Linked DNA regions of Alligator mississippiensis. The protein of the gene in region 2 purifies or fractionates together with the protein of the main gene of each other region. This does not show direct contact. Links are inferred from orthologs where the notes say so. Each region holds a gene or a part of one and is shown on either strand. Other genes may lie near its edges.

Region 1 (8,014 bases), on a different chromosome or scaffold from region 2:
AGTCAGCTGGAATGACTACTTCCATTCTCTCACTTGTCAGGAGAAAGTCTTTCCTCTCACCTCCTCTACTTTCAGTAAAGGCAAATAACTTAATATTTCTAAGTGCTGGTTAAACTTCTAACGGGTCTTTCACAGTCAGGAAAATCAAAGATAAATCTTATCTGCATAGTTATATCTATGAATTGTATACCTAGCCTATAGGCAAACTTATAGCCATTAGGCACCAGAAATGTAGATATAGCCATGCTCTACAAGACCCAAATCAAAGCTTCCTGAATGAAGATCTGAACCTACTAATTCAGGCTCCAAGTAAGCTCTCCAACTAGATAGGTGTTAAGACACACAAAGGCAACAAACTCCCAGCCCAAGATAAGGCAGAAAGGAGTAAGACCAGCCTTTACCATCTTCCTCTCCTCCAGGAGGGCCCTGCAGAATGGGGGGGGGGAAATCAGTGTATTAAACAAGTTGGTAGCCTGTACAGTCAAAGCAGAAATGCAAGAATCAGCAAGTAAGCAGAATTACTGCTTTCTGCAATAGCTGAAAGTTTCCCAGCAGTCTTTGAAAAAAGACCAAGGTGAACAGAAGTAATTCAGGAGGCAAGGAAAGCAACAAGAAATTGTGGGAGACAATGCCTTCTACAACACAGGCTGTCACCCTTACACAGAGTACATAGCCTGGAATGTATCCTTTGGACACAATAAAAATAAGCAGGAGCACTCTAAAAGGCTTGGGTTACAAGGAGCTACAACCCAAGTGTTGAAAAGTTTAGTTCTTGTCCTAGCAAAGGTAAAGGACCACTACAAAGAGAACATGACCATTATTAATTACTCGCATACCAAGAGGAGCACATTTGTCTTCTATAAGTAAGAAGATCCTGGCCAGAATTTTGACAGAGGAAGAAGAAATAACAGATGTAACAGTAGAGAGTACTGGGGAAAGTACTCTATGAACTCTCCTGAGGTCAAGAAAAAAAGTTTTCTCCAGCACTAATCAACATATGGTATGTTGCCATACGAGCAGTTAGCCAATCAGATCCAGGCCTTGTTCAAGAGGCTCTTTGAGCAACATTTGCAACAAAATTTAAAAGTGGCAACTTAAACCCAAAAGTGATCCAATGGTTCCTTTTAACTCTTCAATTTCTTAATTCCTTTACTCATTTTAAAATTATTCCACTTGTAAATCAAAGAGCTTCTACTTGCTAGATAGGCTAGAATTACACTATTAAAGAGCAACTGCTGTACTTCTAACACATGAAGACTTCTTTCTCAGTTTTTCCTCTTTAAAAAAATGTGACTATTGAAGGTCTCATTAACCAGGTGAATGTCTGCCCCTGATTTTGTAGCCTATTTAAACCTATAGCTTAAATGATATCAACTGACATCCAGTTCAAAAGGTTAACTAAACAGGTCAGTTTCATTCTCAGGCACCAACAGTCTTGGTGAGATCCAGCTGCTTAACTGCAAACCAAAGAGTTTTCCAAGGAACTGTGTATTAAATGTCACCAAAATATTGTTACTGCTCTGTTAAAAAACCCAAGTCTTGATTTCATGAGACAAGAACATAGGAGTTGCTATTTATTAGATCAGACCATGGGTCCATCTTACCAAGTCCCCATCTCACACAGTGGCAGGGTGTTGAAGCTGAAAGGGAGAGCAAACTGTGTCTGACCAGGGTTTGTTTCTTCACTGCCGCTCTCACTTGCAGCCTCCAGCACTTAAGGTCCAGGAAGTTCCAATTCAGGGGCTGTAGCCCTCCCTCTTAAGCTCCATAGCTACTGGTGGCCTTTTCCTCCAACAATTTGTCCAATGCCTTTTTGAACCTAGCTAAACTTGCAGTTTCCACAACATCTGGTGGCAATGAGCTCCACACTTTAATGCCACACTGTGTGAAAAAGAACCTCCCTTTGTTAGTCTTAAATTTACTACCTACTAAATTTATTTTGTGACCCCTTGTTCTTGTATTGAGAGTACATAATAAATACCCATTTACTTTCTCCTCACCATTTAGTGTTTTGTAAACCCTTATGTCCTTCTACAAGCATCTCTTATCAACTGAATAGTCTCTCCTCATACAGAAGCCGCTCCGTGCTGCTCATCACCCTTGTTGCCCTTCTCCAGGCCTTCTCTAGTTCTTTATATAGAGTTTGAGGCGAGGGGACCAGAATTGGGCACAGTAGTCAAGGTGTGGACACACTGGGGATTTATGAAGTGGCAGGAAGATATTTCTGGTTTTGTTTACAATCCTGTTCTTAACAATCCCCAATATAAGATTAAGGATTATAAAGCACAGGTAAGAATTTACAAGACATTTGCGGAAGGGAGAGAACCCTCTGCTGACAACACCCCCCCCCCCCCAAAACCCTGCTGCTCGCTAGCTAGCTCGCTCCCCACCACAGCAGGCCTTCGCTTGGCTTCTCCAACTCCTCCAACATAAAAGCCCACGTGCCCAATCACAAGCTCACCGATTTCCACAGCCCTCTGGTTTTTGCTTCCAGCAACCCAAATGCTAATGCGGGAACATGTTGCTCAATGCAGGTGCCTGGCTACAACACGGAGTCTCTTCTAGCAGTTGTGAAATTGGGGGGAGGGTAGAGGACGGCGTTACCCAATTACCTCGGGCTCCAGCATCAGCCGACACCACGGCCCCCCGCACTTCCGTCTCACCTTCCCCTTCCCAAGCCCACTCCACTTGTCCCAGCAGCTGCTTCCCGGGGCCCGCCAGGCAGCCCCTCCCGCCGCCCAACAGCGACACTGCGCAAGCAACTGACCGCGGGGGGGGAGGGGAGGGCAGCACCCGAGGGGCCGAGGAGCGCCGCGCCGCTAGCACAGGACGATGCCGCCCCCGCCCGGGGCTAACACTTCCCCCACCCACGCAGGGCCAGGCTCACCCGGGCCGGCCAGCGGCGACGTAAGGGCTGCAGCAGGAGCCCCCGCCCGGCGCGCTGTTTATCTGCTCCCGCCCCTTCGCCGCGGCGCTCGCTCCTCCCGGCCGGCACGTGCACTTCCGCCAGGGGCGCTCCCGACGCCGCGGGGGCTCCCGGGAAATGTAGTTCGGGAGGGGGCGGGAGAGCGGGACGGCTTCCGCGCTCGCCGCGCTGCCTGCTGGGAAGCGGCCCCCGTGTGGGCCGCCGCGCTGCCTGCTGGGAAGGGTAGTTCAGGTGGCGGGAGGGGCCGAGCGCCCCCTGCCGGCCGGGGCAGGCCGCACGCACGACCTCACACACGAGCCACGTGAAATGCAGCCGCGAAGGCGCGGTGGTGGCGGGAGCCGAGGCGGTCGGGCCCGGGCGTTCCGGGAGCGCCTCTGCTGCGCGCCCTGTGGCAGAGCCCGTGGTCTCCGGGCAGGATCTGGGCTGGGCTGACCCGGGTGCTCGGCCTGTGGGCGCGGCGCAAGCGGCTCCAGCGCCGACGGCGGCTGGCAGTACGGGCCCCTTGCTGCCCCTGTGCTGTCAGATCTAGGCCCCGGGTTGTGGGAACAGGGCCCCAATTGCCTCCAGCCCCCCCCGTGCCTGGATCGGTGCCGGGCTCCCCTGCGCCCCGGCTGCAGCCCAGGCGGCTCGCCAAAGAGCCAGGAGGTTGGCAGCAGGCGAGCCACTTCCAGTGCCGCTTCCCCCGGCTCCCGCACTTGCGCCTCACGGCCCAGCCCAATCGGAAACTGAGCAGCGGGCGCGGGACTGGGCGAGGCGCCGGCGCCGTCCCGGGCCAGAAGACGGAAGGCCCTTCGCGCTCCCCCACAGCGACCGCGGCGGATCCCGCGACTCCGGGAGCTGGGGCTTCCCCGAGACCGCAGGCCCCGGTCCGGACTACAGCTCCCAGCGGCCCCGGCGCCGGAGGGGTCGGCCCGGGCAGGCGCCCGCCCCGCACGCCGCAGCCATGGCCGAGGAGGTGGAGAGGAAGCCGGTGCTGGAGACGGTGAGTGCGGGCAGCCGCTGCCCCCGGCGCGGGGCGGAGCCGCCGCGCGGAGCGGGACCCGCTGTGCTCCGGGGCCGGGACCGGAGCGCGGGTGTCTGCGCGCCGCCGCCGCGCCACGTGCTCGCCTCCCCGGGGTTGTAACCACCGCGGCGGGGGGGGGCGGTGTTTTGTCGCATCTCCAAGGGGTTGGTTTCGCGCTGGTTCTGGTTCTCTCTTTGAATGAGAGGGGGGCGGGGCCAGGAGCTGGAGCTAGACAAGCAACGGGGAATTGGAAACGCGCGCCCCCGACAGCGCTGCTCGCCTGTTTGCACCTGCAGCTGTAGCCAGCAAGCGGCCTGGCCCAGGGAGGAGCCCGGCTGGGTTAATTTTCCTAAAGGGTCTGAGCACAGTTGCATCAGGTTTGAGGCTCATAAGGTCTTTTTGCAACTATGAGATGACTTACTGTTCTTCTAGTATCTGTCATCTCCATGAACTTTTTTTATGAATAAGGGGATCTTTTTAATGCAAGTTAAGCATTCCCAACATTGCTAATTAAGGTGTGGAAAATCTAGCCCTCAATCTAACCTGTGCTTTGGAACTGGAGTGAGCAAGAGGGCGGAGGGGCAGAGACTAGCTATAGAGCCGCAGGGGAGTTGCACATCTGCTCCTAATCTCTCGCCTGTTGTCATTTTGGAGACAGCGGGTGCATCTACATGAGACACTAACAGCCCAACAGCCTAATAATACTGTGCGGTAGCCCATTGCAGCACAAACAGTGCCAGTACACTACTGCCCAGTATTATTAGGCTACTGCACAGTAATGTCACTAAAAAGGTGTTCGCTGGAGCTACTGTTACTGCGCATTTATTTAGTACTTGATTGTTTACCCATCCTCTTGCAAAATATGAAACATCATAACCAGAAGGAAATAATTCATAGAGGTGCATTGATACATTGTTCCAATATCAGATCTGTACTGATATAAAAAAAATTGACTGTCGGAAATCGGCTTTTTTGCCTGATGTGGCGGCGCAGCAGGTGGGTGGTGAGGAGCGCAGCCTGGCAGCTTGCAGAGCTGCATCCAGCTGGTAAGTGGAGCTATGGCTTGTCTGAGGTGGGGCAGAGGCTCCCATCCCTATGCACATCCCAGGAGGGCACGGGTGGGATGTGTGCCCCCCAGATCTGCATGGGAGGGGTGGGCTGTCACTGCAGCGTGGGATCAGGGCTGCCTTGGGCTTTTCCTGGCAGGGGCTGGGTCAGACTGCTAACCGCACAGGGTGGGCAGTGGCGCTGGGTTTGGGCTACGGTGAATTTTGGGGTGGCTGCAGCCCCCACCCCATAACCCCTCTCCCAGTGCTGCTGCCGCCCACCCCAAGCACAGCACAGCTCAGCCCCTGCTGGGAAGAGCCTGGCGCAGCCCCTGCTCCAGCTCTCAGTGGCAGCCCCCTCCTTCCCATGCAGATGTGGGGCGACATGCCCCCCTGAGTCCTCCTGGGGTGCTGTCAGCAGCGGGAGCCCCCCCTCCCTGCACCCCCCAAACAAGCCATGGTTCCATCTTGTGTCCCACTCTGCCTTGGCTGGGCAACATCTGCCCCAGCCCCACTCCCTCCCTCCCTCCCCCTCCCTCCCTCACTACAGGGGCCTCGATCTGCCCCTGCCATGCCCCTTCCCTTCCACCTCCCCTTCCATCACAACAGACTTACCAGCCAGACACTGCTCTTTGCTGCTGGGCTGCGTATCAGAAATCGGATCGTATCGGATGATATGCATCTTTAAGCATCATTTGTTGGTATCAGCCCCAAAAAATCTCTCTTGGATGCACCTCTTTAACATACCACTTACTATCAGACAACTTCAAGGTAAATAGACTGCTCAAACTTTTTATCTGAGCTAAATTTGCACAAAATGAACTTTGCCAACCAGGAGATCTTATACCAGGGGTGGGCAATTATTTCAGGTGGAGGGCTGCTTACTGAGTTTTGGCAAGCCATCAAAGGCCGCATGACAGGGAGCAAGGGGCAGATAAATATTAATTTTCTAAATTTTTTAGGGGCCCGATGGGCAGGATAGAATGGCCTGGTGGGCTGGCCCACAGGCCATATTTTGCCCGCCCCTGTGACTTATACCTTCAACTGTCCTGTGAAATATGAATTTGCATTTCTGCCTAGGAGAAATTTTACCATCTTTGCATTTTCCTATGCCTGAAGAAGTGTGTGTGTACCCAAACGCTTGTGAATAAAGAATTTTTTTTGCAAATATCTTGTTGGTCTAATAAGGTATAACCTCTACCCAGAGTTCTGATTCCAGTAACCTAAATCCAGTTGAAACATCCTCTCTTGGAAAAATGTCTACTGGAGCTGAAAGTGGTATGAAAATTATGTAGCTAACTTTAATTGATCCAGCTCAGCAGTGGTGCAGTTAAATGGTTAATGTATGCTTCTAAAAATGCATTACACATGTGTATGGGGGGAAATTGCATTCCTTTGCAGCAGTGAATTACTTGGAGGTCAGTGCATCCCTGCATGTAAGGGAAGAATTTTTTTTTTCTCTGGGATTTGCAGAAGCATTGGGGGGCCATCCAGACCCACATTCAGGTTCATAGTCTACCAGTGGAAGTTGAGGGTGTTATCTGTCTACATCTGTCTCAGGGTAGTAGCTGTTTGCTAAAAGAAAATAATCTGTTAACTGTTTCCCCTCTGCTTAGTGGCAAGGTGTGGTAATAGCTCTGTACTGTATGCATTACCAAGAGAGAGCTGCAGATCTAGTCATCTTGCACCTAGTGTAATTTACAGAAATGTATAAAACCAACACCTATTCTACCAGGGATTGTTTTTGTGTTTGCTTGCCCATCCCCTGTAATAAGCTGTTTGTCAAGAGGTGTGAAAGTATGATTCAGAGTTAGGATTTCTTTTCTCCTCTTTAGAAACAAGAATAACTTTGTCCAGTGTTTATCTGCACCACAGCCTGTGATGCCAGTTTGTTCTGGTAACATCTTTTATGATGCTAAATAATATTGCTGACAAGTTAATAAGGTAGATTTGATTTAACTCAAATCGATTTTAAAGTGTCATTTAAATAACAATTTAAATCACTGGTCAGGAAGCCTCGATTTAATCATTGTTTTCTACAAAAAGTGCATCCTTGTTTGCAACCTTAATGCATATAATTCATAGATGTTAGGGTCGGAAGGGACCTCAATAAATCGACGAGTCCGACCCCCTGCATAGGCAGGAAAGAGTGCTGGGTCTAGAAGACCCCAGCTAGATGCTTATCTAACTTCCTCTTGAAGACCCCCAGGGTAGGCAGTGGGGTCCCGCAGGGCTCGGTCCTTGGACCGATACTCTTTAATGTCTTCATCAGCGACTTGGATGAGGGAGTGAAATGTATTCTGTCCAAGTTTGCAGATGACACAAAGCTATGGGGAGAAGTAGACACACCGGAGGGCAGGGAACAGCTGCAAGCAGACCTGGACAGGTTGGACAAGTGGGCAGAAAACAACAGGATGCAGTTCAACAAGGAGAAATGCAAAGTGCTGTACCTAGGGAGGAAAAATGTCCAGTATACCTACAGCCTAGGGAATGACCTGCTGGGTGGCACGGAAGTGGAAAGGGATCTTGGAGTCCTAGTGGACTCCAAGATGAACATGAGTCGGCAGTGTGATGAAGCCATCAGAAAAGCCAATGGCACTTTATCGTGCATCAGCAGATGCATGACGAATAGGTCCAGGGAGGTGATACTTCCCCTCTATCGGGCGCTGGTCAGACCGCAGTTGGAGTACTGCACGCAATTCTGGGCACTGCATTTCAAGAGGGATGCCGATAACCTGGAGAGGGTCCAGAGAAGGGCCACTCGTATGGTTAAGGGCCTGCAGACCAAGCCCTACGAGGAGAGACTAGAGAACCTGGACCTTTTCAGCCTCCGCAAGAGAAGGTTGAGAGGCGACCTTGTGGCTGCCTATAAGTTCATCACGGGGGCACAGAAGGGAATTGGTGATTGTTTATTCACCAAGGGGCCCCCGGGGCTTACAAGAAATAATGGCCACAAGCTAGCAGAGAGCAGATTTAGACTGGACATTAGGAAGAACTTCTTCACAGTTCGAGTGGCCAAGGTCTGGAATGGGCTCCCAA
Region 2 (7,764 bases):
TTTCAAATATTTCAGAGATATTCAGACAACTGAATGAAAATCTAATCAGCTTTTGCCTTCTTCACCTCTATACAAAAGAGTAAGTAGTAGTAAAACAAATGTTTACTAAGAGATCTGAGTTTTGCTCTCATCCAGTTCATCTGGCAGCAAACCTTTTGGATCCTCAACACAGAGGACAGCATTTATCTAAAAATGAATTATCTACTGCTCTCGATACAATTATGGAAGTAGCAAAGAATGCCCCCAACATCAACGAAATGGCAATGTCTGTCATCATGGCTAAGTACCGTGCAAAAGAAAAACTTTGGAGCAAAAACATCACTTGGCAGGCAGCAGAGAATACATCTCCTATCACATGGTGGAAGGGATACTGTAACACTAGACTGCTGTCCACCATTGCTCTAAGGATCCTAACCATTCCACCAACAGCAGCTTTTTGTGAACGGAACTGGAAGGCTTTTGCTCAATCAAGACAAAAAAAGAGGAATACACTAACAAACGAATGCACTGCTAAGCTTGTTTCTATTTCTCAAAATCTTCTGCTTCTGCAGAATCAGTCAGAAGCACAATTAGTGAAGAAGACGTAGCGTGAGAAGTCATCCTTGCCCATAGACTCATTGGTAAAACCACCCTTTAGAAAAAGAAATGTGGTTCAAGTAGTTCTGAAACAGATTTGCCTCAATAAGTAGTGTAAGTAGTGCAAGTGATTCTACAGATAGTGAGAATGAAACTGGAGGAGTCACAATTACCTCAGTGGAAGAGAATTAAACTCTGCTGAAGTAGATGAATGGACAACTACGGCATATCCTGCACAGTTCTTTGGGTGTGCTAAAATTAGTGCGTCAACAGTTTTCAGTGCCTTTGTTTGTTTAAATTTAAGAAAAAAAATGATGTAAGGGAAATCCATGCTATTGTGTATTGTCTTTACATGTTTACAAGTATTCCAATAAAAATAATCTCTTTCCACATAAAGCTTTGAATTTGTTTGAATATAACATTTAAACCACATTAAGTGTGCTGAATTTATTTGTTTTCCTAATCAAATATTTCAGTTCAAATACTTGTGGCTATTGGGACATAAAATTAACATGGGGGTACTTTTTTAGTTCTGTTTACTAAATACAAGTCAAATAAACATGCTAAAATCAGACCATGATCTATTTAGGCATTGGAAAATTTTCCATTTCAAAATTTTCTGAAAAACCCACATCTCTGGATTCTGCCCTGCTAGAATCCAATAAATGCCAGATTTTAGAGATTTGGTGAGCTCATGAATAGATGCAATTTTTTTTTTTTTTTTTTACACTTTACTTCATAAATGAGCAACCATAGGGGTTTGAGAATGAGAGTCTTTGTGTTATGGTGTACATTATTCCCCACAAAATCACCATGATCTTATGTGTTCAACATCTGGCATCCTGTCTATTAGCTACCCATTCAGGCAGCTGCTCCCCTTTCCCATTCCAGAGAGAGAATCTGGAATTTCTGCTTGTGACGTTACAAATTAGGTTCACCATTAAGCATTTTCTTCCATAATGGACTGCCTGTTCCTACAGTCAAAGAAGGCAGCTGCTACTTGCTACAGGAGAGATCAAAGAGCTGTTTAAAAAGAGCACCCACAGAGCTTACAAGCCAAATGGGACAGATAACACAGTTTAGAAATATCACTGGTCTCAAAATAATATGAAGTCTAGCTGCATTGCTTTGTGCACTGGGGTAGTACTGAAAGCCGCATAGGGAAAGCACACTCAAAGGAGAGATGCAAGTAGAGACAGATGGCATGACACGAAAGAAAGGCAGCTCCAAGTCAAAAAGGTCAGGAAAGGCAAAGAAGATAACATGAAAACAAGGGGAAAAAAGAACCATAGAAGTAGGGCTGGAAGAACTCTCAGGAGGTCTGGTCAACCCCCCGATCAAGGTATGATCGTCCTTATTTAACCTATCCTACAAAAGTGTCTGTGTAAACTGTGCTTAAAAACTGCATAAACAACTACACACAAAACCCCCAAGAACACCCTAAGTGGCCACAGTGGGGCACTGACAATTTCCTGCCACTGCACGGGCAGGCCTATTCGTTGTGCACCGGGAGCTGTGGACCTGGCCCAAGCAGAAACAGTGGCCCCTCTAACAGCAGAACTACTTGTTCGTCTCTAAAAGAAAACATGGGCCTAGCCCACCAGGTTGCTCATCGGCCTCCCTGAGGTGGGGAGGCCACAAGAAAGGTGACAACAGAATGGAACAGGTGGAACAAAGAATGAAAAAAACAGAGACAGGAGTTCAGGTGAGAGATTCATATTAAGTGTGTCCAGTGGGGACACCGAGCACAGCGCACCGGACAGTGCCCACTGGCCCTCAAGGAGCCAGTGGACGCTGCTCAGGGGTACTCTGGGGAACGGATGAGGGAAAGGAGACGGGCCCTCCCAGCCACAGCCTCCTTCCTGGTCAAGCACGTGGCCAGCTTGGGCAGGAGGAGGTTGACCAGGAGGTCCTGGGACTGGGTGGGGCCACAGACAGAGAGTGCCTAAATAAAAAGGTGCGGGGAACCTCAATAAGAGGCTGGGCCAGGTGGGCGTGCACCAGGGTCCCTGTCAGCACACAAAGGGGGCAGGCAACAGAGGCATCCACGAAACATGATGGTGGCGTGCGGATGGCAGTGGAGCACCCCCCTAACGGACAGGCTAATGAAAGGGAACAAGAGCGCTGGGGACACGGACACGCTGCAAAACCAGGAAACCACCGTAATGACGAACACCGGAGACACCCAAGGAGGAGGACCGCGCCCCCCTCGCACAACTGCCCGATCTGACCCGGGGCCGGCTCCTCCCTGGCCCCACCTGCGCGGGGCGGCCCGGGCCTGAGGGGTGGGGCGGACCCTGAGGCCAGGAAGCCCGGGGGGGGGGGCACTCACTGCATTGCGCGATGCGCTGCACGTTGGCGCTGCAGGTCTGGATGATGCCGCCGAAGTCGCGGGGCGGCCCCGGCGCGGGGCGGGGGGCGCGCGGGCCCGACATGGCGGCGCCGGACGAGCTGCGGCCGCGGGATCAATCGGGCCGGAGCCGGGACAGCGCCGCGGTGCCACGCGCATGCGCCGTGAGGGAAGCCAACCCGGCTGGGCCCCGCCCCCGCCGCCAACGCCTACGCGCCGGAAGCGGCGGGGACCATGGCAACGAGGGACGCGCGGCGCCGCGCACGTGTTCTCTTGCGCTCCGGCCCCGCGCGGCGCCTCGGCCTCATCTCCCGCCACTGACCCCGCGTCCACAATCGCGATGGTGTCAGTACTGCACTGCATTGCCTGTCCTGATTACGTGACTGTCAGCTCGACTGCCACCGCTGCTTTCGCTCCTTTAAATCATACATTTCTATCTGCACTAGCCTCAAACTCATCTGAAATGGCATGGTAGCTGTGGAGGCCAAGCTCAGTGTCTGTCGCTGGGACAAGGCTCCGCGGAATCGCACAAGCCTGTTACAGGCCGAGCGAGGAGGGGGCGGGTGCAGGCCCCGATTCTGCAAACACGTCGGCGGCTGCAGCTCCGGGCACGTGAATAGCCTTGACTGACTTCAATCGAAAACTAGTCACTCGATCACACAGTTTCTAATGTGGTGAATCAGGGTCCCGGTTTTCTCTGTTTAAACGCCCGAAATTATCCGATTACAACCCACGCATCACTGTTTTTTCGTGATTAAAATGAAAGGCCGCTATGTATACACAGGTATCAGCTGAACGCAATGTTTTATTGATGTATTTGCAATTTTAAAGCAATTTGGAAGCTTACCTTCATCATCATAATACAATGACTTTTAAATATCTATACACTTTAGCATTTGCTTCTGGTTTTCTTTTTTTTATCATGGAAAATCAGAGCTCTCCCTGCCCCCTTCGCTCGCCGGGATGTGGGTCCAGCTGCAGCTGTTCCTTCCCCCCTCTCTCCCCTGCCGCTGCTTTGTGGCACTGAGCAGCCCTGATATGCTGGTGCCCCTCACTCCCAGCCCACAGCCTCCTGGCCCCATCAGTGCTCCTCACCCCCAAACCACAGCCCCTGAATCCCCCCAGCCCCACTGCTGCCTCTCCCAACTTGCTACCCCCCGGTGGGGGTGTGTGTGTGTAGGACAGGGTGGGATGCCTGACCATAGGCAATGTCATAGGCAACTTGTTAGAGGGGTAAGGGGGGCAGCATGTCCCCTCCTAGATTTGTGTGCCCACAGCGGGGCTTGGGGCTGCAGCCTGGCCAGACTGGCACAGGCAGGAGCTGCCAGCACGTAAGGGCAGAGCAGGACAGTGAGGCTTATTGCTGCTGCCACCAGGACTGCCGCACGGCCAGCAGTGCAAGGAGTAACAGATCAGAGGTGGGGTGGGGAGTGGGAGTGCTGCCCTCACCTCCTCCTGCCGCCACCTGCTCATGCGCTGGGCCATCGCTCTACCCCACTGCCATGGTCCAGCTGCCACTACCACTCCCCTCAGGTTGCCTGTGCTGCCCCTCTCCCCATGTCCCCTCCTGGATAGAGCAGTGGCCCAGCACAGGAGTGGCTGGTGGCAGGAGGATGTCAGGGCAATGCAGTCCCAACCACACATTACTCCTCACACTGCTGGCAGCATGGCTGGTGGAGGGTTTGTGGCGGCAGCAGCAGCAGCAATGAGTCTTGCTGTCCTGTTCCACACTCCCACGCTGGGTCCCACCCGCTGGGCCATGGAGGCAACTCCTGCCCATGCCAGTTCAACCAGGTTGTAGTCCTGTGCCTGCTGTGGGTACACAAATCTTAGGGGGCACATGCCCCACCCGGCTGGCACATCACCTATGTGTCCCTGCCCCCTCACACCTTGCCTATGCCCCCCCCCATTGACTTAGCTGTGGGAGCTGATCGCTACCACGATGCCTGGCTGCCATGTCCATGTGTCTGCATGCACTTGCATGTGGCATCCCCTTCCTGTGTTTGCCCTTCTCCTGCTCCCCTCACCCCAAGCAGCCCCTTGCAAGGGGAAACCCACTGTTTCCCATGTTTTTCTCCTTTAAAGGAGAAAATCCTTCTTTTTCCACAGTAAATAGAAAACACAGATTCCTGATGATAGTCATGAAAAACTGTTCAGATTTACATGACATGAACAGAGAGCTAGACGCAAGACTTAGAATCAAAGAAAGTTAGCATTGGAAGGGACCTCAGGAGGTCACATCTAGTCCAACCCCATGCTCAAAGCAGGACTGTCCGTAACTAGATCATTCCAGCCATGGCTTTGTCTAGATGAGTCTTGAAAACCTCAAAGGATGGAGGTTGCACCACCTCTCTGGGTAACCTGCTCCAGTGTTTTACTACCCTCCTAGTGAGAAAATTCTTCCTAATATCTAACCTAAACTTCCGCTGCTGCAACTTGAGACCATTGCTCCTTGTTCTGTCATCTGTCATCCCTGAGAACAGTACAGCTCCACCCTCTGTTGAACCTCACTTCAGGTAGGTGAAGGCTGCTATTAAATCCCCTCTCAGTCTTCTCCTCTCTAGACTAAATGTGAAATTTTTTATATGCATAAGCCAAGTGTGTATTTAGGCACCAGCACTTAGTGATTTCAGACTTTGGAGCATAAGCCTTCTTGACTTCAAACTGCAAACCCTGATGTATTAGTCTAATCTTGGGAAAGCATTTAAACTTCTTTGATTTGTGCAAGTTCAGTATATCAAAACTGGTGTGGGTTGCAAATGTAGCCAGGGCTACCTGCTTACCAATTTTGGTGTGTTTACACAGTAAAGATGTTGGTGGAGCCCCAAACTCACCTATATCATTGAACTATGAAAATCTTAGTAGGAAAAAATCAAATTCTATTAATTAATGAATACAGGTTTCTCTCGTGTTATGCAGGTTCTGTATGTGCAAATTCGCACTTATGCGATAACCCTTTTTATACCAAATATTTGTTATATGTGAAGTAAATTCACTCTCATGCGATCAGTGTGATGGAAGCTCGCAGTCGACTACTTTGTGCATTGCACTGTGGGAGTGATGTGCACCAAAATAAAGTCTAGGTGCATCCGTGATCCTCACTCATTGTCTGTGACACGTGTTTCTGTAGTTGCCATCCCCATTATGATAGTGCCCTGTGCTTGTGTACTGTCTGCTGTTGAGGAGTACCAAAATTTTCTTGTAAAAATGGTAGAAATGGGTCTGGGGGTCAGTACAGTCAAGGTCTTGGAACGTATCCCTATTTGCTACATTGTAAAGTGGGTTCCTTTTATGCGAATTCTAGTTATGTGCCATTTTCCAGAAATGCATGTACAGCATAAAGCAAGGGAAACCTGTACAATTAACTTTCTCAGTAATTTAAGACATAAAATGGTAAGAGTGTACATAACAACATAAAAATAAACTGATTATTTAATGGAGCCTGCCGGCCTGCGCTGTTCAGGGACTGGTGCTTCCCTCCATGGCAGCAGTGCCCCCTGGGACCACCTGGGCTGGGTGGCAGTGGGTGGGTGCTGCCTGGTGGATGCCACCACCGCAGAGGGAAGCACCTGGGTCCCCCACAACTCAGGGATCACTCAGCCCACCGGCAGCTCACCCCCCCGCCCAACTGTGGGGGAGACAGGTAAGCTCCAGCACCCCGTGCACCGTCTTTGCCTCTTGGGAGCACCCAGGAATGGATGGCTTGCCCCGGAGCAGAGCGGAAAGGAGGCAGGAGGGTGGTTGGGTATGCTGGTGGCAGCAGAAGGAGGCGGGGATAGTGCATGGGGTGTTGGAAGTCCACCAAGTCTGAGCTTCCCCGATCACGGTGGTTTCCAGTGCCCCATGCACCGTTGCACTTTGTTAGGTAGCAAACTAAAACACCTCGGAGGTATTTTACCTTGCTAAGTAACTAAGTCATGTAAAGCGGAATATGCCACCGAACATGTAAATAGGAATGCCATTAAAACAGAATACGCTGCCAAACATGTAAATAGCAACACCATTAATGGCACAAATGGGCATTTTGCTGCTTTAAAGGACAATTTTATTGCATGTACAAAGGCCCAATGATTTTCTTTACCCTGGAATTCAGTTTACTTATCTTTCTCTAGTTATAAGTATCAGGCCAGATTCTATTCCACTTTTTTGGTGTCTAAGTGAATTTAGGTTCCTAAGTGCAATTCTGTTCCATCCTCTTTGAATCCCTAACAATCTATTAATGCAGGGGTGCTCAACCCCCAGCCCCTGCTGTCATGTCATCTGCCTCATGGAGCTCCTCACAGGACCAGAAATTTGGCAATGGAGAGTGGTGGCACTGCTATCCTGCTGCCAAATTTCCAGTCCCAAGGGGAGCCCCAGGCTCTTCATGCTGGATTGGGCATCCAATCCCAGTGTGCAGGTCCAGACACAAGTGGTGCTAGGCCCCAAGGCCTAATCCTGGCACATGGGAGTGCTGGTGGTCCAATTCTGGCACAGGGGCAGGAGGGGATGGTGCTGCACCCCAGGGCCCATTCCTGGCAAGTGGGGGCATGAGGGGGTGGTGCTACCCCCCAGGGCCCAATCCCAGCATTCAGGGCATGGAGAGGGCAGTACAGAGTCCCAGGGCCCAATCCTGGTGTGCGGGGCTTGAACTAGGCTTGCAGACTGTCCCCATGCTATTCATCTGACCTATAGGGCCAAAAGCTTGGGCACCACTGCATTAATGTAGCTACTTCTATAACACACCATTATCTGACCCTTAACTTAAGTAATAAAAAAGTAGCAAGTAGAAGGAGGACCCATCTCCTTTTGCATTAGCAGTTCTTCTACTCAAGCAGGGTGGAATAGAACCACAGATG
Region 3 (7,865 bases), on a different chromosome or scaffold from region 2:
CGTACGCTGATGCCGGAGCAACAGATCCCACCCGAGAAATTATTCTGCAGCTTCATCCCCCCCCCCTTCCCCCCAAGGATTGCTGTTTCAACCTTCCCTGCTTTAAAACCCTGCAAACTTCCGACAATACGTGTGTATCTATCTATCGATAGATAGATGTGTGTGTGTACACACACACACACACACATATATGTATATATACACATGCATATATATATATATATATATATATATATATACACACACACACATATAGGAGTGCACGGATTGAAATGAAGTTTAGCCAGATGAAGAAGAAAACAGGCATAGGTCATCTCATACTCACTCCTTTGTTACCATGGGCATGATACGAGCTGCTGGGTTGTTTGCAGTCTCAGCTCTGTGCCGTAAAATGGGATATATCTAACCTTTCATCTGGAAGTAATTCATTTAGGGCTCCTCTCAAAAGTTCAAGCCAGGATGGAAAGGGAGCTGATCTGAAACGGAGGAGGCTGGATGCCTGTCAGAGCCCCGATGCAACGTGTGCAGCGAGTGTGTGCTTGCTGGCAGACAGGGAGGGCCGCGCCGTTTGCATTTATAACAAAGCTGAGTGCGGAGACGGTCTGATTAATCACGATCTGTTTTGTTGCTGAAGGACAAATTCTGGCTGTGGGTGCTTGGTTAATAGGGCGTGCTCTTGGTTTTTTTATAACAGTAAAGATGATTCATCATTGGAAGCGGTGGCTTCTGCATCTCCTGAAGTCTGCAGACCGAGCCGGACCGTCTTGGATCCTTTGTTGAAACGCATGGGATTGGACTCAATAAAAAGATAAAATCCTCTTGACTGGAGCTGGACTGTTCGCAGTGGCGACAGGACAAGGAGCAATGGTGTCGCGTTGCAGCAAGGGAAGTTGAGGTTGGATGTTAAGAAAAACTTTCTCACGAGGAGGGGATAGTAAAGCACTGGAACAGGCTCGACTCATGTTAGTAGAGAGGTGACAAAATTGACCTTTAAAGCTACGCCTCCGTGAAGCCGGGGATTTGACCCTCACTAACAAACATAGGGAATATGCAACTCGGGTTGAAATATCTAGCGGTGGAGTTTGCAGCAGCTCGGTGTGTAGAAGTCAGGATTTCTTAGGTTCCCTTAGTAGCTGCATCTAGCTATAGCCACTGCTTCTACATCCCTCAAATGGGGAAGCTGCTGCTGTCACGCACCGTGACATCTGGAGCCGGGCTGTTCTTAGTGGGGGCGGATGACTGAACAAGGAGCAATGGGCGCAAGCTGCAGCAAGGGGAAGTTGAGGTTGGTTATTAGGAAAAACTTTCTCATAAGGAGAGTAGTAACAGGAACAGGCTACCCAGAGGGGTGGGGGGAGTCTCCGTACTTGGAGGTTTTTAAGACCTAGGTAGGCTTGTGCAGGATGATGTAGTTGGGGCTGGTTCCGCTTTGAGCAGGAGGTTGGACTAGATGTGACCTCCGGAGGTCCCTTCCAGCCCTCCTTGTCTGTGTTTTTATGATCTACTGAGTGAAAAATCTACTGTGGCAGCAGAAGTATTTTAACTCAGGAAGAATGGTCGTTTGCAAAAGGCTAGAGAGGACTTGTCTTGTTACCGAGCAGCCCCTTCTCTGCAGAGGATGCGAAGCCTCCAGTGGCAGTGCTACCACTGCCCCAGCCCATATCAAAATGCCTTGTGGGTTTGACGCCAGGGACAGGTGGGAGAACCGGCTGCAGACCGGGGTCTGCTACTGCCAAGTGTCTGCCTACCCCCCTCCTCAGGTCGGGGACTACATGCAGGTCGGTCCCCCGGGCAGCATGGAAGTGCCTCTGGAAGCATGGGTTTGATGCGGAAGCCAGTCAGGCCATGTGGGACAACTTGCCCCAGACCGTGGTCGCCTGCCAGCAAGTGCCCGCCTACCCCACCCTTAATGGTCGGGGACCACACGCAGGTCGGTCCCCTAGGCAGCTCAGAAGTGTCCCCGGAAGGGAGCGGGAAGCACCAGGGAAAGCAGGATCATGCTAAACCTGATAGCGGAAGTATCTATGGAGATGCAGGATGGTAATGAAAGCATGATGACGCCCCTTTACGAAGCCATGGTGCGTCCACACCTTGAACACGGCGCCCAGTTCCGGTCCCCGCACCTGCAAAAGGATAGAGAAGAACTCGAGAAGGTCCAGACAAGGGCAACAAGGATGGTCAGTGCTACAGAGGGGCTTGCCTAGGAGGAGAGACGGCCGAGGCCAGGCCTGGTCAGTTTAGAGAAGAGATGCTTGAAGGGAGGCAATAAAATATTAAATGGGAAAGAGAAAGTTGATGGGAATTTATTATCGACTTTCACCAGTCGTGTCCTGTGCGAGATTGTCGACAGCAGCCGTTTAGCAGCTGTTGCCGATTCGTTAGAAGCGCTTCTGCTAAGGCCGACAAGGTTCTTGGGGGGGGGGGGGGGAAATCCAGTATTGTTTATTAGACCAGTTAAAATAGTTGGAAAAATGATTTGTTGCAAGCTTTCAGGTTACAAACACCCTTCTTCAGGCTTATTTACCAGGCAAAAACCGAGGGGTCACAATAGGAAACGAATAGGTAGTTGGTTTTTCCACCCAGGACAAATGAAAGGGGGGAGCTCGTGGCTACCAGGTGCAGCGGAAGTAGAGAGTTCATCCTGATCCATGAAGGGATTGGACCCGTTTTTGGAGGAAAGGGTCAGCGGGAGCGCGGGAGTGTGGGGCACGGCCTCCAGAGCAGAATATCCTCAACCTTCAGCGGCGCTTGTACACGTGACATAAAGTGGCCGCAAGTGGGAGAGGGACGGGGGGAAGAGCCCTGCTCAGACCCATGCTTTGGGGTTGTTGGTCTAAGGACATAGGCAGGCAAGGGTTGTGGGGAGATGTGATCTCTTTTATAGATTCATAGATGTTAGGGTCGGAAGGGACCTCAATAGATCATTGAGTCGACCCCCAAATTATTTATTATTATATGTAGTTGGTCTAATAAAAGAGATCACATCTACCCCAACGCTCAGAGCCAGTCGCTCGCCCTTCCAGCTCCGCTGTCTGCCGCCACGGGGCGCAGGAGACCGGGCAGGACTCGCCTAGGGTCCGACCCCGTTCACGGCTGCTCGGACGCTCTTGGATAACACACGGTTTCCATCTTGGAAGACGCCCATCACCCTGGCCCTGCTGAAAACCGACCGAGGCGTATCGTAATACAGGTGTCTGCAATCTTGTTAGAAGACCGCTGGACGTCCTCATTCCACGCTTTAATTGCCCTTGGAGGGGACGAGCCCACGCGTGGCCCAACTGCAGAACGACCCGGCCCCTCCTTTAGGCCGTGTCACGCGCTTGTGCACATGCCGGTGGCGAGGGTGTTGTCATACGCTAATTGGGCGCGGACGTGAGCCGGCGCTGTTTTCCGGGGGCTGCTGTTCGGGAAAAGCAACGGATGCTGCCTTATCATGTCTGCACGTAACCCCCGTTAGTCCTAACGAAGGCAATTTAACATTGGAATTTGCAAGCTGCCAGGGCTGTCCATAGGGGTTTGGTGCCTTGAGGGTATTTGCTCTTATAGGGGAAGCCCCTATAGGGACTTCCTTGCCTAGAAGCCGAACGTCCTCTCCCCTTGCATACGGCCCTGTATAGCAGCTGTTCTGGATAGGAGCCTTGCTGTATAAGGGTAGGAGCCGAAGCCAACCCTGCCCTGTATAGGGACCCCCTATAGGGGCTTTTCCAGAGAGGAGCCCAAGGATACCCATACTGTACAGGTGTTTAGTTCCAGCAGACGCTAAGGATTCCCTCTTCGCTCCTGCCTCATATAGGGGCCTTTATAGGGGCTTTTCCAGACAGGAGCCTCGGTGGGTAGGGGCTTAGTTCCATAGGAGCCTAAGGATCCCCCCCCCACCGTGCCCCATATAGGAACCCCTATGGGGGCTTTCCCAGACAGGAGCCCAAGGATACCCTCGCGGTGTAGGGGTGTAGTTCCATAGGAGCCTGAGTCCCTCCTCAACCCTGCCACGTAGAGGGACCTATAGAGGGGCTTTTCCAGGCAGGGGCTCAGGGACCCCCCTACCGCACGGGGCCTTCGTTCCATAGGAGCCTCGGGACTTCTCCCCCAGCTCTGCCCCATATAGGGACCCTTCTAGGGGCTTTTACTCTATAGGTACCTAAGGCTCCCCTGCTGGATAGAGGGGCATCCGCCCTATAGGAGCTGCTGTTGGGGCCTCCTTGGCAGTACTGCCATACTTTATCTAAACCTATATAGATACAGGGCTATATCTATAACTATCTGTCCATATAGATATCTATCTCTATGCAGATATCTAGCTATCTAGATATAGATACATATGGATAGATACAGATATATTGATATGTATCTATATATAGATATACAATATATCTATATTGTATCTAAATATATCTAGAGACAGTATCTAGATATATTTTATTTTGTTATTTTTTATTTTTACTCTATATAGATAACAGTAAAAATAAAAGTACAAAATAAAAATATAAAAAAACTTTTAAAATGTCGAATTGAGATGTTATAAAAATATAAGACGAAATATAGGACTTGATAAACCATGTTTAAAAATTATAATAAAGTATACATTTGTTTTAAAAAGTATACTTTATATCTATTCCCCGCCCCCGAGCGCCTATAGCCTTGCACGCCCCCCCCCCCGTGGACATCACGTGACTGTCTCCAGACGCGCCGACTCACTTCCGCGTCACGTGAGGGAGGAGGGGGCGGGGTTTCCCCGACCACGTGCCGGCAATACAGCGTGCTCCCATCACGTGACGCCTCGCATCACTCCCGCCCCTTTCCCTGCTTGGTCACGTGACACAACCCCTCTTCCCTCCCTCTTCCGCAGAGTTCGTCCCGCCCCTTCCGGGTAGTGACGTGCACGGCCCCGCCCCCTCTCGCCGGCGTTGAGTGTCGCGGCCCGGCCCGATCCCGCTCCCGCGCCGCCGCCATCATGGACCCGGCCGGGAAGGAGAAGGAGGCGCTGCAGCTGCTGGCCGAGGCCGACAAGAAGGTCCGCGGCTCCCAGTCCTTCTTCGCGGGGCTCTTCGGGTGAGTGCGGGCGGGGGGTGGGGCCTAGCGCGAGGGGCGGGGCCTAGCGGCGGAGGGTGTGGCCTAGGGGGGCCAAATAGGGGGGCTGAGGGGTATGCAGTGGGGGTGGGGTGGTGAGATGGGGGGGCTGGGTTTGGGGGTGGGGCTTAGTTGCAGGGGGGCTGGGGGGGACCTAGCAGGTTTAGCAGGTTTTGGGGGGTAAAATGGGGGGGCTGAGGAGATGCTGGGGGGGCGGTGTTTAGACGGAGGGGCGGGGCTTAAGTTTGGGGGGGGCATTGGGGGCACTCGGGCCCAGCCCTAGACCTGCGGTGGGGGGGGCTGTCTTTGGGGTGAGGAAGATGGGGGGGGGCAGCTTGAGACATGATGTGGGGGAGGGGCCTAGTAGAAAAGGGGGTGGGGCCTAGCTGGAGGTCTGGGATCTTCGTGGGGGGGTCCCAGAGGCCCAGGCCTGGTGGGGGGGTGTTGTGGGGATGGGGGGGCTCAAGCTGGGAGGGTGGCAAGGGGGGGGTCGCAGGGGGCTGGGGGGGTGCAGGGACTGGGTCCGGGGATTGCTCGGGGGCAGGCTGGGAAGCTGGGTGTGTTGTGGGGGGGGAGGGGCATTGCTCCATGCAGCCTCGTGGGGGGGGGCAGGGGACAGACCCCCCCCCCCTCCACCTGCAGCCTCTGACCTTGCCTTGGGGTGACCAGCTCCCTCCCCAGCCTGGCAGGGGGGGCACGGTGTCACAGCGCTCGGCTCAGCTGGGGGGGCCTGGAGGGGCTGAGACCCCCCCCCCGCCCCCGAGCGAGGAGGGCAGGACTGGCCCAAAGAGGAAGCTTTAGCTGCAGCGCGTGCGGGGGCCTGGCCTCGTTGCTATTAGAGCAAACGTTTTGTGGCCCCCGCGGAGCTCGAGACTCGGGGTAACGATGGCTGGCAGCAAACCCCCGGGGTGCGGGCAGCCAGTTGGGCGCCTGCCTGCTAAATGGGAGACCGGCTCCGGCCGAGGGAGACCGTGGCGCGGCCGCAGATCAGCCCCGAGCTCGGGCAGCGAGTGCAAACGTGTGCAAACGTGAGGCCGACTCGGCAGGGCCCCAGGGTGGCGGCGCTGCCTTCGGGTCTGGGGCCTGCGCTTCCACAGGGAGGTCCGAGGCGGTGGGTGGGGGAGGTTGGATTTGGGGGGCAGGGTCGGGGAGACGCCGCTCGGCACAGCGTGCGCTGGGCAGGGCCGTGTGATTGCTCGCAGATAGCGGGGAGCTGATATTCATCGAGGCGCGTGGGGGGGTGATGACTAGGACGGAAAGAGGAGATGAACGGCGAGGACTGACGGCGAGATTTATCACTGCAGAAATACCTCCGCTCCCGACAGGCCTGACGCAGTCACGGGCGCGAGCTGTCCCGTAGCAAACGCCCCCCCGTCGTTTCCCCGGCCCGAAGGGGGAAGCCGACGTGCGCGGCGGTGGCGGTGGCGGTGGGGAGACCAGAGATAGTAAACAACCTCCATGGCTAAGTCATGCGGTTCTCCCCAGGGGGAGGGGAAAGCTGGCGGGCCGGTGGATTTAGTCCTGTCTCAGCCGCTGGGTGGAAGGGCAGCGGCCTTGCCGGAGGGCGAGGGGAGTGCGTGCAGTTGCAGTGACGAGGGATCTGTTATCTCAGACCAACATGGCTGTACAACAAGGAACACAAAATGCTAAAACTCATGGTTCGGAGGCGATACCTTTCATTAGACTGACTGGAAAAGAGCCAGAAAGTGACCTTCGTTTGCCAGCTGTTGGGCACATGCAGCCTTCTTTGGGCTGAGGGGGATTGAAAGATGGTCAAAGTCCCCTTGGGTAGAAAATAAACTACAGACATCCATCCACCTTCAGCTTCCTTTGTGCAAAATGAAGTTTATTTTCTACCTTAAGGGACTTTGACCATCTTTCATTTCCCCTCAAGAAATTACCTGTTACCGTCTTGAATTTCCCCTTGCAAAGAAATTACCTGTCTTTGCAAGCCCAAAAGCTGGCCAAGAAGGGTAATTTTTGGCTCTTTTCTGGTCAGTCTAATAAAAGGTATCACCTCTCAGCCAAGGTTTTAGCGTTTCTTATTCCTCATTGCGGTGGCTTTGTCCCTTGAGGATCGTGATGTTTTTCACTGGAGCCCCTTGATGCCAAGCGGGACTGGGGAGCTGACGTAGACTCGTCGAAGTTAGGGGCTGGAAGGGACCTCTCGAGATCATCGGGTCCAGGCCCCCTGCGCTCAGGTCGCCCAGCACACGTGAAAAGCTTTGGGAGGAGCGACCAGGGGGAGGCTGGGGCTGGCGTCTTGGGCAGGAGAGGGAGGAGGTGACTGCCGATGGGAAAAGGGGAGCCGCGCTCCCCAGAAGAGACTGTTCTTCCTCTGCCTTCCCAGGGTCTGTACCTGTGGCAAGCAGGAAGGCAGCTCAGCAGGCCAGTTCCTCTCGCATCCGACTGTAACCGCTAGGTCTGCAAACCCCGATCTTGTTCATAGCGTCTAGACGCAGCCAGCAAGACAGCTCCCTGGAGCTCTTCTCTTGCCAAACGTGCTCCCCCCCCCAAAGCATAAGAGCAGCAGCAGATTGCAGAAGAGACAGCAAATGACAAGCACGCAGCAGCTGCAGCTGAGATTTTGGTGGTGGGACCAGGAAGGTTCTTTAATTACTCTTGAGTTGAAAGAGAAGCGGGGGAAAACCCCCCACCCCCAAGGCATTTGTCAGTGCAGAGCCCTGTGAATTTGCGCTGCTTTCTCTTGGATGCTTTAAACGATGTTCCCCTTTTAAAAACCACCTTGAAGGTGTTTTTATCGACGCCGGTTTCCCTAGTGCTGCTTTTAGCGAGCA

The links. Proteins that work in one complex are often made in the same cells at the same time.
Region 1: the proteins of STX12 (region 2) and VAMP7 purify together in Homo sapiens (affinity purification with mass spectrometry; 3 studies listed by BioGRID and IntAct, counting the BioPlex papers as one, with this or other methods). This does not show direct contact. The link is inferred for Alligator mississippiensis from reciprocal best matches to the Homo sapiens genes STX12 and VAMP7.
Region 3: the proteins of STX12 (region 2) and NAPA purify together in Homo sapiens (affinity purification with mass spectrometry; 4 studies listed by BioGRID and IntAct, counting the BioPlex papers as one, with this or other methods). This does not show direct contact. The link is inferred for Alligator mississippiensis from reciprocal best matches to the Homo sapiens genes STX12 and NAPA.

The regions. Positions count from the first base shown.
Region 1 is NC_081831.1:35,659,446-35,667,459, forward strand, and holds the start of VAMP7 (vesicle-associated membrane protein 7), read right to left. Parts: upstream 3,005-8,014; 5' UTR 2,888-3,004; intron 2,633-2,887; exon of another isoform or gene 2,613-2,632; intron 2,562-2,612; exon of another isoform or gene 2,462-2,561; intron 1-2,461. Other genes in the region: DNA-directed RNA polymerases I and III subunit RPAC2, read left to right, coding at 3,870-3,908. UniProt on the Homo sapiens protein: Involved in the targeting and/or fusion of transport vesicles to their target membrane during transport of proteins from the early endosome to the lysosome. Required for heterotypic fusion of late endosomes with lysosomes and homotypic lysosomal fusion.
Region 2 is NC_081829.1:16,711,435-16,719,198, reverse strand, and holds the start of STX12 (syntaxin-12), read right to left. Parts: upstream 3,070-7,764; 5' UTR 3,012-3,069; coding exon 2,909-3,011; intron 973-2,908; exon of another isoform or gene 1-972. UniProt on the Homo sapiens protein: SNARE promoting fusion of transport vesicles with target membranes. Together with SNARE STX6, promotes movement of vesicles from endosomes to the cell membrane, and may therefore function in the endocytic recycling pathway.
Region 3 is NC_081838.1:1,790,897-1,798,761, forward strand, and holds the start of NAPA (alpha-soluble NSF attachment protein), read left to right. Parts: upstream 1-4,861; 5' UTR 4,862-4,951; coding exon 4,952-5,049; intron 5,050-7,865. UniProt on the Homo sapiens protein: Required for vesicular transport between the endoplasmic reticulum and the Golgi apparatus. Together with GNA12 promotes CDH5 localization to plasma membrane.